Arabidopsis thaliana: one gene and its partner. The protein of the gene in region 1 interacts with the protein of each later gene in a pairwise test. Each region holds a gene or a part of one and is shown on either strand. Other genes may lie near its edges.

The links.
Region 2: the proteins of emb1967 (region 1) and CRF7 interact in a two-hybrid assay, tested with the Arabidopsis thaliana proteins (2 studies listed by BioGRID).

Annotation. Positions count from the first base shown.
Region 1 is NC_003074.8:20,121,401-20,128,930, reverse strand, and holds emb1967 (Forkhead-associated (FHA) domain-containing protein), read left to right. Parts: upstream 1-1,949; 5' UTR 1,950-2,167; exon of another isoform or gene 2,168-2,307; 5' UTR 2,308-2,375; intron 2,376-2,401; exon of another isoform or gene 2,402-2,462; 5' UTR 2,463-2,551; intron 2,552-2,816; 5' UTR 2,817-2,899; coding exon 2,900-2,968; intron 2,969-3,975; coding exon 3,976-5,517; intron 5,518-5,602; coding exon 5,603-5,654; intron 5,655-5,884; coding exon 5,885-6,033; intron 6,034-6,136; coding exon 6,137-6,223; intron 6,224-6,345; coding exon 6,346-6,474; intron 6,475-6,552; coding exon 6,553-6,633; 3' UTR 6,634-6,914; downstream 6,915-7,530. Other genes in the region: AT3G54360 (zinc ion binding protein), read left to right, coding at 48-197, 299-361.
Region 2 is NC_003070.9:8,134,419-8,138,009, reverse strand, and holds CRF7 (Integrase-type DNA-binding superfamily protein), read left to right. Parts: upstream 1-1,975; 5' UTR 1,976-2,184; coding exon 2,185-2,664; 3' UTR 2,665-2,830; downstream 2,831-3,591.

The DNA of each region.
Region 1 (7,530 bases):
GGAAGTAGAAATTGATTTCTTTTGTTATTTCTACATTTTTTATGTAGATTCTGGATGTGGCTGTTTCCTTAGCCAAAGTTGCGGATATAGACAGGACTCTACAAAATGAAGTTGCAGCGACAGATGGGTTCAAGGAAGGCATGAGACTGCTGGAATCTTTGAAACTGGACTCTGAAGATTCTGCTCTCGAGCAACGGGTAAGATTCTTGCACGACTCCCTTTTTATTTGTATCTTATCCAAAGCTGCTGAATGTCAGTAAAACTTTATCTGACAAATGTAATTTTAACATGCATGCAGCGGCTCTCTGTACTGGAGTTCCTTAAGAAGCAAGTAGAAACCGATGCTGAAACTGCACTCTAAACCGATGCAGGCTTAAGTACGTATATAGAAATTATACCTAAGTTCTCGTCTGTGGCATTTTGCTGAATAAAGAAAGCAAAAATGTTGTATTTGCGCTCAAGGGACAAAGAAACAGAGTTGTCTGTATGTTGTGAATTGTGATGGTTTTCAACTTTCAATGCACTAATCTTGCAATGTTAAATTGTTAAGCATGATTGTACTCTATGCACTTGTGAAATTTAAAAATTAAGATATCTTAAGCGGCTACAGCTGTGAACTGCTTTCTATTTCTTTTCAGTGCAAAATGAGAAAGAACCCAACAGAGATTGAGAGATGATGTGAAAGGAAAATGCAAGTATTTGCAAACTCAATCAGCTACAAAGAGTATAAATTGCGACAACAAAAATTTGTCTTTGTTGTTTTGTTGAATGAAGTTTTTCTTGTAACTACTCTTACAAAAATAAAAACATAAACATAGTCAATCCCTAAAGCCGATGATACTATGCAAACGACAAAGATATACTAACTCCAACGCACGAATCAACAAAATTAGGTCACTTTTACGAAAATAAATCTACATAATCAACAAAATTAGGTCAACTTCGTTCTATTTGTAAAGCTTTTTTCAGTATTTTTTTCTTTAATATGTTCACGTCTTTTAACTGTTCATATAATTACGTAACTAAATCTTTAACTTCGTATGTAAAACTATGTTTTTACGTATTAGATATAGAGAAATTGTTAAGAATGTTTTTCCAAAAATATGTTTTTTTAGTACTATCCTCCCATGTAATCATTTTTATTGATATTATCTTTTAATTATTAATGACTATTTTGCTTCTATTTGAAAATACTTAAATCAACAAAATGAAAAAATGATTTTTTCCGCCAAAAAATGTACTTCACATCAACTGCTATGAAACAATGTACTGATTTTATCAATTCACAAAAATTCTTGCCTCTAATCAATCGTGATTCAAGCAATCATGCAAAATCTTGAGTAACCAAGCCTAAAAAACCTAAAAACCTAATCAATTCTTAAAAGATACGGAAATTAAAGTCAAAGATTACTATCAACTCTCGCCTCTTATCCATCTTAATTAGTTCTTCAAAGATTTCACACGAGTAACCTAAAATCCATTGAAATTAAGTCAACTATATACCTCTCTTCGCGGTTTATAGTTGAAATCTGGAGGCATCGCCAAGTAGCCGCCAGCTTCGCCGATTTTACGTTGAAGATCAGCGTTTTCTTCCAATATGAAATTTCTGGCGTAAAGCGATAAGTGCACTTTTCCGGCATAGATTGAGTTGAACTGAACAAGAATAGTACGACGACAGATCAGATTTTTGAGGATAAAGAAACCATTGTCGAGAATTTGAGAAAAAGATGAAAGTCGAGAAATGATTATTGATTATCTGAGGATTTATAAAATATATAAAAAATATTTAAAGTTCAAATTTTATTAATCCTACTAATATTAGTTTAGAAGTACATTTAAAAAATATGAACTAATATCTATCATCTAAAAGAGTATAAATTACAACAACAAACGAAATGTGTTGAAAGAGGCTGTTTTTCCGGGAAATAAGCATTTGAAGTTTAGTTTCAGAAAAAGGAGTTAAAAGAAGAGCAAAGTAAAAAAATCACATATATCCAAAACGGTGTCGTTCCATTCTCAAACGTGCTTTATCTTCTTCTTTACACACTCTCGCCTCCGGACGACGGAGACAGTCAGATATAAATTAGGGTTTCAGATTTTTTAGATTTTATCTCTTCAATTCGAGCCAGTGAATTGCCGCCTCCTCCTCCTCCTCTTCTTCCCTCAAGTTAGTTACTTTCGTCTTGAGTTTTCTAAATTCTCTATCTATAAATTGTGATATCAACTTGTGAGAATTTCGAAAAAATTGTATGTGCGTCTTCTTTGGAGCTTGAGAATTTAACGAGAGTATTGATTTTTTACCTACAGTACATAACCAAAGCAATGAAATTCTACTTGTATCCTGTAATGGCTGACTAAATCAACTGCGAATCGTGGTTCGTCACTTTCTTAATTAACTATTTTTTTTTCGATCTTTGTCTAATTTCAATAATTTATCCAAATCCTGATACTTGTTGTTCCAGTTTTGTGACATGGTTACTGTTGCTAGGCTATTGAACCTCACTCTTGTTGTTCCCGAGATTGACAAAACATCCTTCTTTGCTGATTCAAGGTATTGTAACTCCTTTTCTTAAACATTTTCTGTTTCTCTTACGTTCTTAAACCCTATTGCAAAACGAAACCTAGAAGAATGCTTCAGATTACTAGAAGAGCTTAACGGTGAGAAAGAGAAACCCATTAATTCCATTTCAAGTAGTGCTAGACCAAGTAATAGCGTCGTCTTTGTTAGTGTTGTTCACCGTAGAGAAAACCAAATTTGAATCACTTCTGATGATATTGTTGCCTACATCTGTCTGATTTTGATTTCGTTTAATTAGGTTTTGTGTTCTGTCACCATCTCTTAGACCCCTTCTACGTTACGCTTTCCTGAGAGAAGTAAAGGTCTGGTTGTGCAGTGAACATGGGGGCTCTTGCTCAAGTTGTTCCGTGGATACCCGAAGACGACCTGCTGCTAAAGAATGCTGTCGAGGTGAGCTCCCATTTCATTGAGTTTGGTTACATTTCAGTTTTCATTATTTTACTACCGGAAATGGATTATGTTGGATTGAGCCATGGGTTTGATCTCAATATTTGTCTCAATTTCCTGTCCTTTCACGCGCTTTATGTAGTTCAATGATCATGTAGTTTTCTTATTCTACCATGCTTGTTTGCAGAGCTGTATCAATTTTGCTTAAATTGAAGTAGTTGTCTAGTTGGAACATTAATGACTATCAGTTCTGTCGCTCATGATGTTTCTAGGCTTTCTTCTTCATAGTTGCTTGTATCTATAGTTGATTTTGAGGGGATTGGAGAGTACGACATATCCTTTGAGGCAGGTTATTATCAGTAATTTTCTTTCCTAAAAGAGATGCCTATCTAGTTGATTCTATCATCTATTAATATTGTTTTGGTTGCATTTTTTTCCTTTTCATGTCTTGTGATAACTTGAATTTTCGGGACAAAAGGTTGGTTGCAGATATCAAAATTTAGTTGAATAACCATGTCAGCTTTTTGTTTGATCCTGTTAACATCTTAAGCCAGTGTTATATGCGGTATAGTATAGTATTATGGGAAACAAGTTACACAATCTTGATGTGGCAAGGTATAATTGTTGCTCTAGAACAAATTATACCATTTCGCGAGGAACATAATATATTGCTGTGTGATCACTGATGATCTGTATGTATCATGCTTCTCTCCACGGGGAAAAGACTGTCAAATATTTTTTCTTAAATTTGGTTTTCTGTTCAGTTATGAGAACATAATATGATTGAAAAAATATCCTTTTGTCTTTTTACAGATGGCTCATCAATCACCACAAGATAGATAATTATGTTCATTGCTTCTCTCATATAGCATTTTATATATCAAGCTAGGCTAGCCAAAAAGTTTCTCTACTAAATTAGTGCTTCTGTATGTATGTATTGCGTGTTTCTTCTTTCAGCTTGTCTGGTAATCTTGCAATTAAGTGAACCAGAATCCTTAATTTATTTGCAGGCTGGTGCTTCTTTGGAATCGCTTGCTAAAGGTGCTGTGCAGTTTTCTAGAAGATTTTCTATTAGAGAATTGCAAGATCGATGGCATGCACTGCTTTATGATCCAGTAGTTTCTGTAGAGGCGGCTTTTCGGATGGCTGAGCTTGAACGTACTAACCCTAATTTTCCTACTAAGTTTGGTAGAACTGGATATTCAAAAGAAAACAAAAGTTCATCTAGGAAGAGGAATGCTGAAAGGCTCAGAAGTACTTATCATTCCTTGCGGAAGAAATTTAGGACTGAGCCATTCAATTCCTTGGATCTAGGTTTCCTCGTTCCACCAAATGATAGCCATTTCATGGATAATGGTGATGCAACACATCTTGGTCTTGAGGACTCTCACATGGATATTATCCACAACGCGTTTCCAGAAATCTTGGCTGAAGGTGGTTGCGTGACAACTCATGTTCTGCCAGAAGATAATTTACAGGGAGACATTCCTTACGTAGAAGGAGAAAATCTCACATTCACTGAACACGCAGGTCTATCAGTATGTGATGTGGTTCATCAAGATTCCGAGCAGAAACTAGAGAATACTGCTCACGAGGCAAAAAACACAATGGCTAGCACTGATTTCCTGGCACAGCTTTCAACTTCTCTTTTCGAAGAAGACATGGAACCGTTCATGGAAGTAGATGGCAAAGAAGTTGACAAGTCATATTATGATGGTCTTAGCTCACTGTTGGTGAACTCTACAAATGATACAAACCGCGAGGCTTTTCCTAACCCCACCGAGCAAGAACCTTCCATTGCACCAACTCATCCAGGAGAGGCAACCCTGGATGATCATGTGATGCTTGAGCTAGATGGTACAATCGCTTTAGATCCTCATCCTGAGATTGTTGGGGGTGTAATCTGCTGTTTATTAAACGAAGAGGATCCTGATATTCCGTGTAATGATGACATTTTCCTGTCCAACAACTCCCGTCCGATGTCAGTTTCTTCTTTAGCCCGGCGGAACTTTAAGGATACCAATAGTCCAATAACTACATGTGTAAGAGACGTCTCCGCCAGTAAGGAAAAAAGTGAGGGATATTCACTCCAGGCTCAAAAGAAAAAACCAGGACGTTTACAGGGGTCTACTCAAGGAAAGCCAGAGATGGGCCAACCAAGTAAAGGTAGCAAATTCAGGGCATCGACTAGTACTGAGTTAAAGAATACTGTAGCTCCTGGTGGTTCTTCCTCTGCACAGGCTTGCTCTAATACTCTACTTTCTACTGGTACCGGTGCAAAAGATGGAAAGAAAGAAACTGCTACTGGAACACTCTTTGTCGGATCTGATGGCCATGGCAACCACCCAGAGAAGGATAGTGAAAATTGTAAAGAGAAAAATGTTGTACCACCTGTTAATGAATCGCCACATGCTAAAGATACTGATGATGGCTTGATAGAGATTACAGTCCCTGAGCTGGAGATCACCCGTGCAGAAGCAGAAGCAGAAGCAGAAGCGCATGTTTGTGAGAGTGATGAGGACTTACCCAATTATTCTGACATTGAGGCTATGGTAACTCTTGACTTCCATCTTTATTCTTGTGCTATGGTTCCATGACACGTAAACACCTAATCCATAACACTCTTTTTTATTTCAGATACTTGACATGGACTTGGAACCTGATGATCAAGATAATTTTGATCTCGAAGGTAGTTGAGCGTCCCTTCTCGTCCAGTGGAACTCATGTTTCTTTCTATCTATCTACATTTTTGGGAAAAGAAAGCTTTTAGTATGTGAATAGGAATGTATTTCGGCATTTGGCTCCTAAAAGTTATTACATGCTGCAGTGATGTGGGAAACCTTTTCTATGGGTAGCGTATGAGATGTTAGAAGAGGTTTAAGGCTTGTTTGTAAATCCCTAAAATGTTTTCACTTGCAGTCTCCAAGTATCAGAGCCAAGACATGAAAAGAACAATCATAAGACTTGAGCAGGCTGCTCATTCATATATGCAAAGAGCCATTGCTTCCCGTGGTGCATTCGCTGTTTTATATGGCAGATATTCAAAACACTATATCAAGAAGCCTGAGGTAATATTATCTTATTCGTTTAATATTCCTTGTATGATTTGATAAGCTTCTTAAGAATTATAGTAGCACTTGTTGATATCGGGGTTCTTTTTTCTTAACATAGGTTTTGGTGGGTAGATCAACAGAAGACCTCGCTGTGGACATTGATTTGGGAAGAGAAAAGCGGGGTAGCAAAATATCTCGACGACAGGTCGGTCAATAGTAGATACTTCTATTTGTATTTTAGGTCTTTAAGTTGTATGAGAAGCAGCAGCCCAGGATCTGTAATGGTTGTTGTGTATGTTTTTTTCCTTTTTGGGTTACTGAATGCAGGCGATCATACGGCTGGGTGATGACGGTTCGTTTCATATAAAAAACCTGGGGAAGTATTCAATCTCAGTAAATGAGAAGGAAGTAGATCCTGGACAGAGTTTAATCCTCAAATCCGATTGTCTAGTTGAGGTTTGATCCGGGATACTCTTTTATGATCATTACTTACGCTTCTAGGTCCGTACTTAAACCCGATATATGTGCGCGCAGATACGGGGAATGCCTTTTATATTTGAAACAAACCAAAGTTGCATGCAAGAGTACCTGAAGAGAAGAGGGAAAGTGAACTGAGACCAGATCAAGAGTGCGTGTTGTTTGTGTAGATGAATGATGCATCTCTTGTGTAATGTACCTTAGCCATAGGAACACGTCTTGTAGATCTTTTAATACATCTTTAGTTCCGCATCATGCATAGTTGACCCTGTTTTAAGGCGTTGAAATGAAAATACAAGTCTCTTGTATCTGAATTTGTGTTTTAAGCGAAGAATGATTGTTCTTGTGAAGTTGATACACAAGTTCTTTGGATATCCTATCAGTATAAAGGATAGGTTTCCATTTTCGTGACTCACTCACTGATTTCCATTGCTTGAAAATTGATGATGAACTAAGATCAATCCATGTTAGTTTCAAAACAACAGTAACTGTGGCCAACTTAGTTTTGAAACAACACTAACTGGTCGAAGCAAAAAGAAAAAAGAGTTTCATCATATATCTGATTTGATGGACTGTTTGGAGTTAGGACCAAACATTATCTACAAACAAAGACTTTTCTCCTAACTTGTGATTCCTTCTTAAACCCTAGGGGTAATATTCTATTTTCCAAGGATCTTTAGTTAAAGGCAAATCCGGGAAATTATTGTAATCATTTGGGGAAACATATAAAAGATTTGAGTTAGATGGAAGTGACGATTAATCCAAACATATATATCTCTTTCTTCTTATTTCCCAAATTAACAGACAAAAGTAGAATATTGGCTTTTAACACCAATATAAAAACTTGTTCACACCTAAACACTTTTGTTTACTTTAGGGTAAGTGTAAAAAGCCAACCAAATCCACCTGCACTGATTTGACGTTTACAAACGCCGTTAAGTTTGTCACCGTCTAAACAAAAACAAAGTAGAAGCTAACGGAGCTCCGTTAATAAATTGACGAAAAGCAAACCAAGTTTTTAGCTTTGGTCCCCCT
Region 2 (3,591 bases), on another chromosome or scaffold:
AAAATCGAACTGAAAAAACCCCTAAAATAAGAAGAAATATAAACAAAGCGACAACGAAACATAACAAGAACGAGAAAGTACGTTGGGGGATTGAATTCAGCTCCAAAATAAGTGTGGTTCTATGAAATTTTTCAGACCTATTATTGATAACATTTCTAAGATGGATATGGACGTTTATACATATAATATGGTAGTCCCCTAGATTTTATAATAAAATTTGAAAAACGTTATTTAAAGAAATGTATACGGTGGCCATTTTTCAATCCAGATTAGAGAAGTAATTGTGGTCGTAGAATATTAATTCATGCATGTCCTCATAGTCAATTTTACAAAAAATCAGAAAGTTTAGTCTTTCACTGATGTGACCTGTGGAACATCATGATATTTTATGAATGTTAAATTTACCATTTTTTTGTTTTGACAGCTTATAAAATCAGATAGTTTATACGTTAACCAAAAGTGCCGTGTCAAATAATACGACTTCCGGCCCATAGATTTCTTTTATCTGGCTACAAATGAAAAATGTTTAGTTATACATATTTTATAGAGTCTTATGTCATGTTCTTATATTTTGTGGTACTTACTTATACACCAGGAAAAACAATCAGTGGTCACGAGAATACTTTAAAGTAACAGAGAGTTGATTGTGCTTAAGAATAAACTTAATTGGAAAAATTTGGTTTAGGGGAAGATTAGGTTGATATTTTGGTAAACGTCCCTTTTACCTGTTCGGTTTTATCTTCTCTTCATATTTAGTGGTGCAACGCAACTTCTGGAGATGAATAATTTATAGTCCTGTAACTTGTGGAGGCGAATAATAAATAATTCAGTCATATCATATGCATATATGAATATATGAGAAAACGATATTAATATAATTAATATCGTTGTAACTTGTAAGTGCGTCATATATAGTTGAAATCATACGAAAGATATCGCAATTAAGGATCAATCGAAGAGTAATATTATATTATTTCACACTTTTTCAAACCTGGTCTTACACATAACACATCTTATAAAACATGATATCATGCGTTTTACGTTAATTGGTTGATAATTTGATTCACTGAGTGGGTTTTACGTTTTCTTGTTGATTAAGATTTAGGGTATAAGCAAGTTAACTAAGCAACTATAGGGTACCAAAACTATCTTTGTAAAATAAACATATACAACAAATGTTTTGATAGAGTTCATGAAATTGTACAATGCATAAAATAAAACATTGAGAAGTTCTAACTGAGTGGTCACATATGTTAGCGGTCCATACATAATTTAATTCGTCATCATTAGAGAAACAATATTGCAAATATACTAAATCTGAGTTTGAGAAAAAATATAGCTTGTAGACACACTTCAGTACCTAGTGATCAAATTATCATATGACATATGATACTTATGTGAGTGTGACTATGTAATTCCTAGTTGAAAAAATACATTGATGATTGAAAATTACAGTCTAGAAATTATACCAACTAAATTACCTTGGTACAACTTATATAAGTAAGTAGTCCCTATAATAAGCCTACACTCTCTACAAAATAAGTAAAGGAGAAGCCTTGAAGGAGAACAACATGTCAATTCAAAATAGTCATGGAATCACTAAAAGGCCTTAAAGAAGTTCTTAAGGCCCAAAATAAATAGGTTTTTCGGAATTTGAAGTCCAGTTTTCTGCGAACCAGACTAGTTCTGCTCACTTTGGGTTCTTTCAGGTGGGCTTGAAAACTAGACAACTGAGTCAGACCAAGATCTTTTTTTCTTTTCAAATCAATATTGTTGTTGTTGTTGTTGTAAATCAATCTTTGTGTAGAAAAAAAAGTGAAAAAAATGATCTTGTTATGAAATTCAAAATCCATACAGTATTTGTTTTTCCTTCATGATTTTACTTTTTTACCAATTAACTTAATAATATTTTTGTCCGAAAACAGATTTTTCGAAATATTTGTTGGTCATCAATTTTGAATTCAAAACCGACTTGATGAGATTGATCAATAGTTCAATACTCATAATTACACACGGATTCTAAAAGATAAGAGAAACAGTAAGTCGGTTAATTTTGGATTAAGTAACGCACAAGCCAAAGCCTTCTCCTGATCGAATCATAAACCAAACAAATCTTTCTTTTAAAAGAAGCGGACACAAACCCTAACCACCAACCCTCTCCGTCGTCAAATTTCCCGGCGAAAGATGAAACGAATTGTTCGAATTTCATTCACAGACATGGAAGCAACCGATTCTTCAAGCAGCGAAGACGAGTCACCACCGTCATCACGCCGTCGAGGTAAGAAGCTAGTCAAGGAAATCGTAATCGATCATTCTGATCCCCCGGAGGTCGGAAAAACTCGGTTCAAAATCAGGATTCCGGCGAGTTTACTTGCTGCGAGGAATACGACGGCGAATAAGAAGAAGTTCCGTGGCGTGAGGCAGAGACCATGGGGGAAGTGGGCGGCTGAGATTAGATGTGGTAGAGTTAAAGGAAGACCTGAACGAATTTGGCTTGGAACTTTTGAAACAGCTGAAGAAGCTGCTCTTGCTTATGATAACGCTGCGATTCAGTTGATTGGACCTGATGCGCCGACTAATTTTGGCCGTCCTGATGTTGATTCTGCGGTGGTGAAAAAGCAAGATTCTGATGCTAGTGGTGGTGCTTCTGAAGAAGTTGTTTGATTTTCTTGTTTATAACTAACTTTGCAAGGTTACTTTTGTTTATCATCATCTTTTGTAAATTTGATCATCTTGCTCTTTGCTTTTTAACTTCTCTTGTACATGTTTGAATTATAAAAGTTCTAATTTTTCAATCCAGATTCTTGGTTTTCATAATTGTACATTTTGATCAGCATAACTATTGCTTAAAATTTCCATATTGGTTTTACCTTAATTGATCAAAAGTCTTTCTTTTGGATCGAAATTGAGACAATTGTTCTACCAACTGTACTTGAAAAACTGCTATATTTCTCTTGCAATTTGGTTATCTCCTGATCTCTTTTACTTATGATGACTCTGTTAGATGCTGCTTTCATGAGCGTTTCTTTGTTAAACTAACTTGGTCGGTCTTGTTGTCACTTTCACCAACTGAAAAGAATTAATATGTTTTAAGTATGTTAAATTGCTGTCAAGCTAGCTAGGGATGTTGTACCGACCAGCGGAACCGGTGGAGCAGTAACTGATTTATTAAAAAAGGTTGTGAAAAAACTGATCTGGTTAACTTTTTGAGCCGGTCCTCCTCAGTAGGACCATCTTTGTCAAAACTTTGATCAGACCGAAAAGCTGTGTTCAACCACATTAGCCTAAAGCTTAGCTCACAAAGACCATCAGAACAGAACAGGCTGAATCATCATCACATATTTTTTTAACAAAACCATATAACAAACTATTAGAACTGAATTCTCATAAAGCTATCAAAAACCCTCCTTTTTTCACAAACCTGGGTTGAATTAGTAGTAGGTTTAGCCACCTTATCTCTGAAACTTTCTTGATAACCTTAATTATACATCTTACAATGTTTAACCTATGGTTTTGTTTAACCTCAATTATACAAAACCATTACCACTAATGGGCTAATAGTGAATCTGGCCCAAAATGTATTTGCCCTTT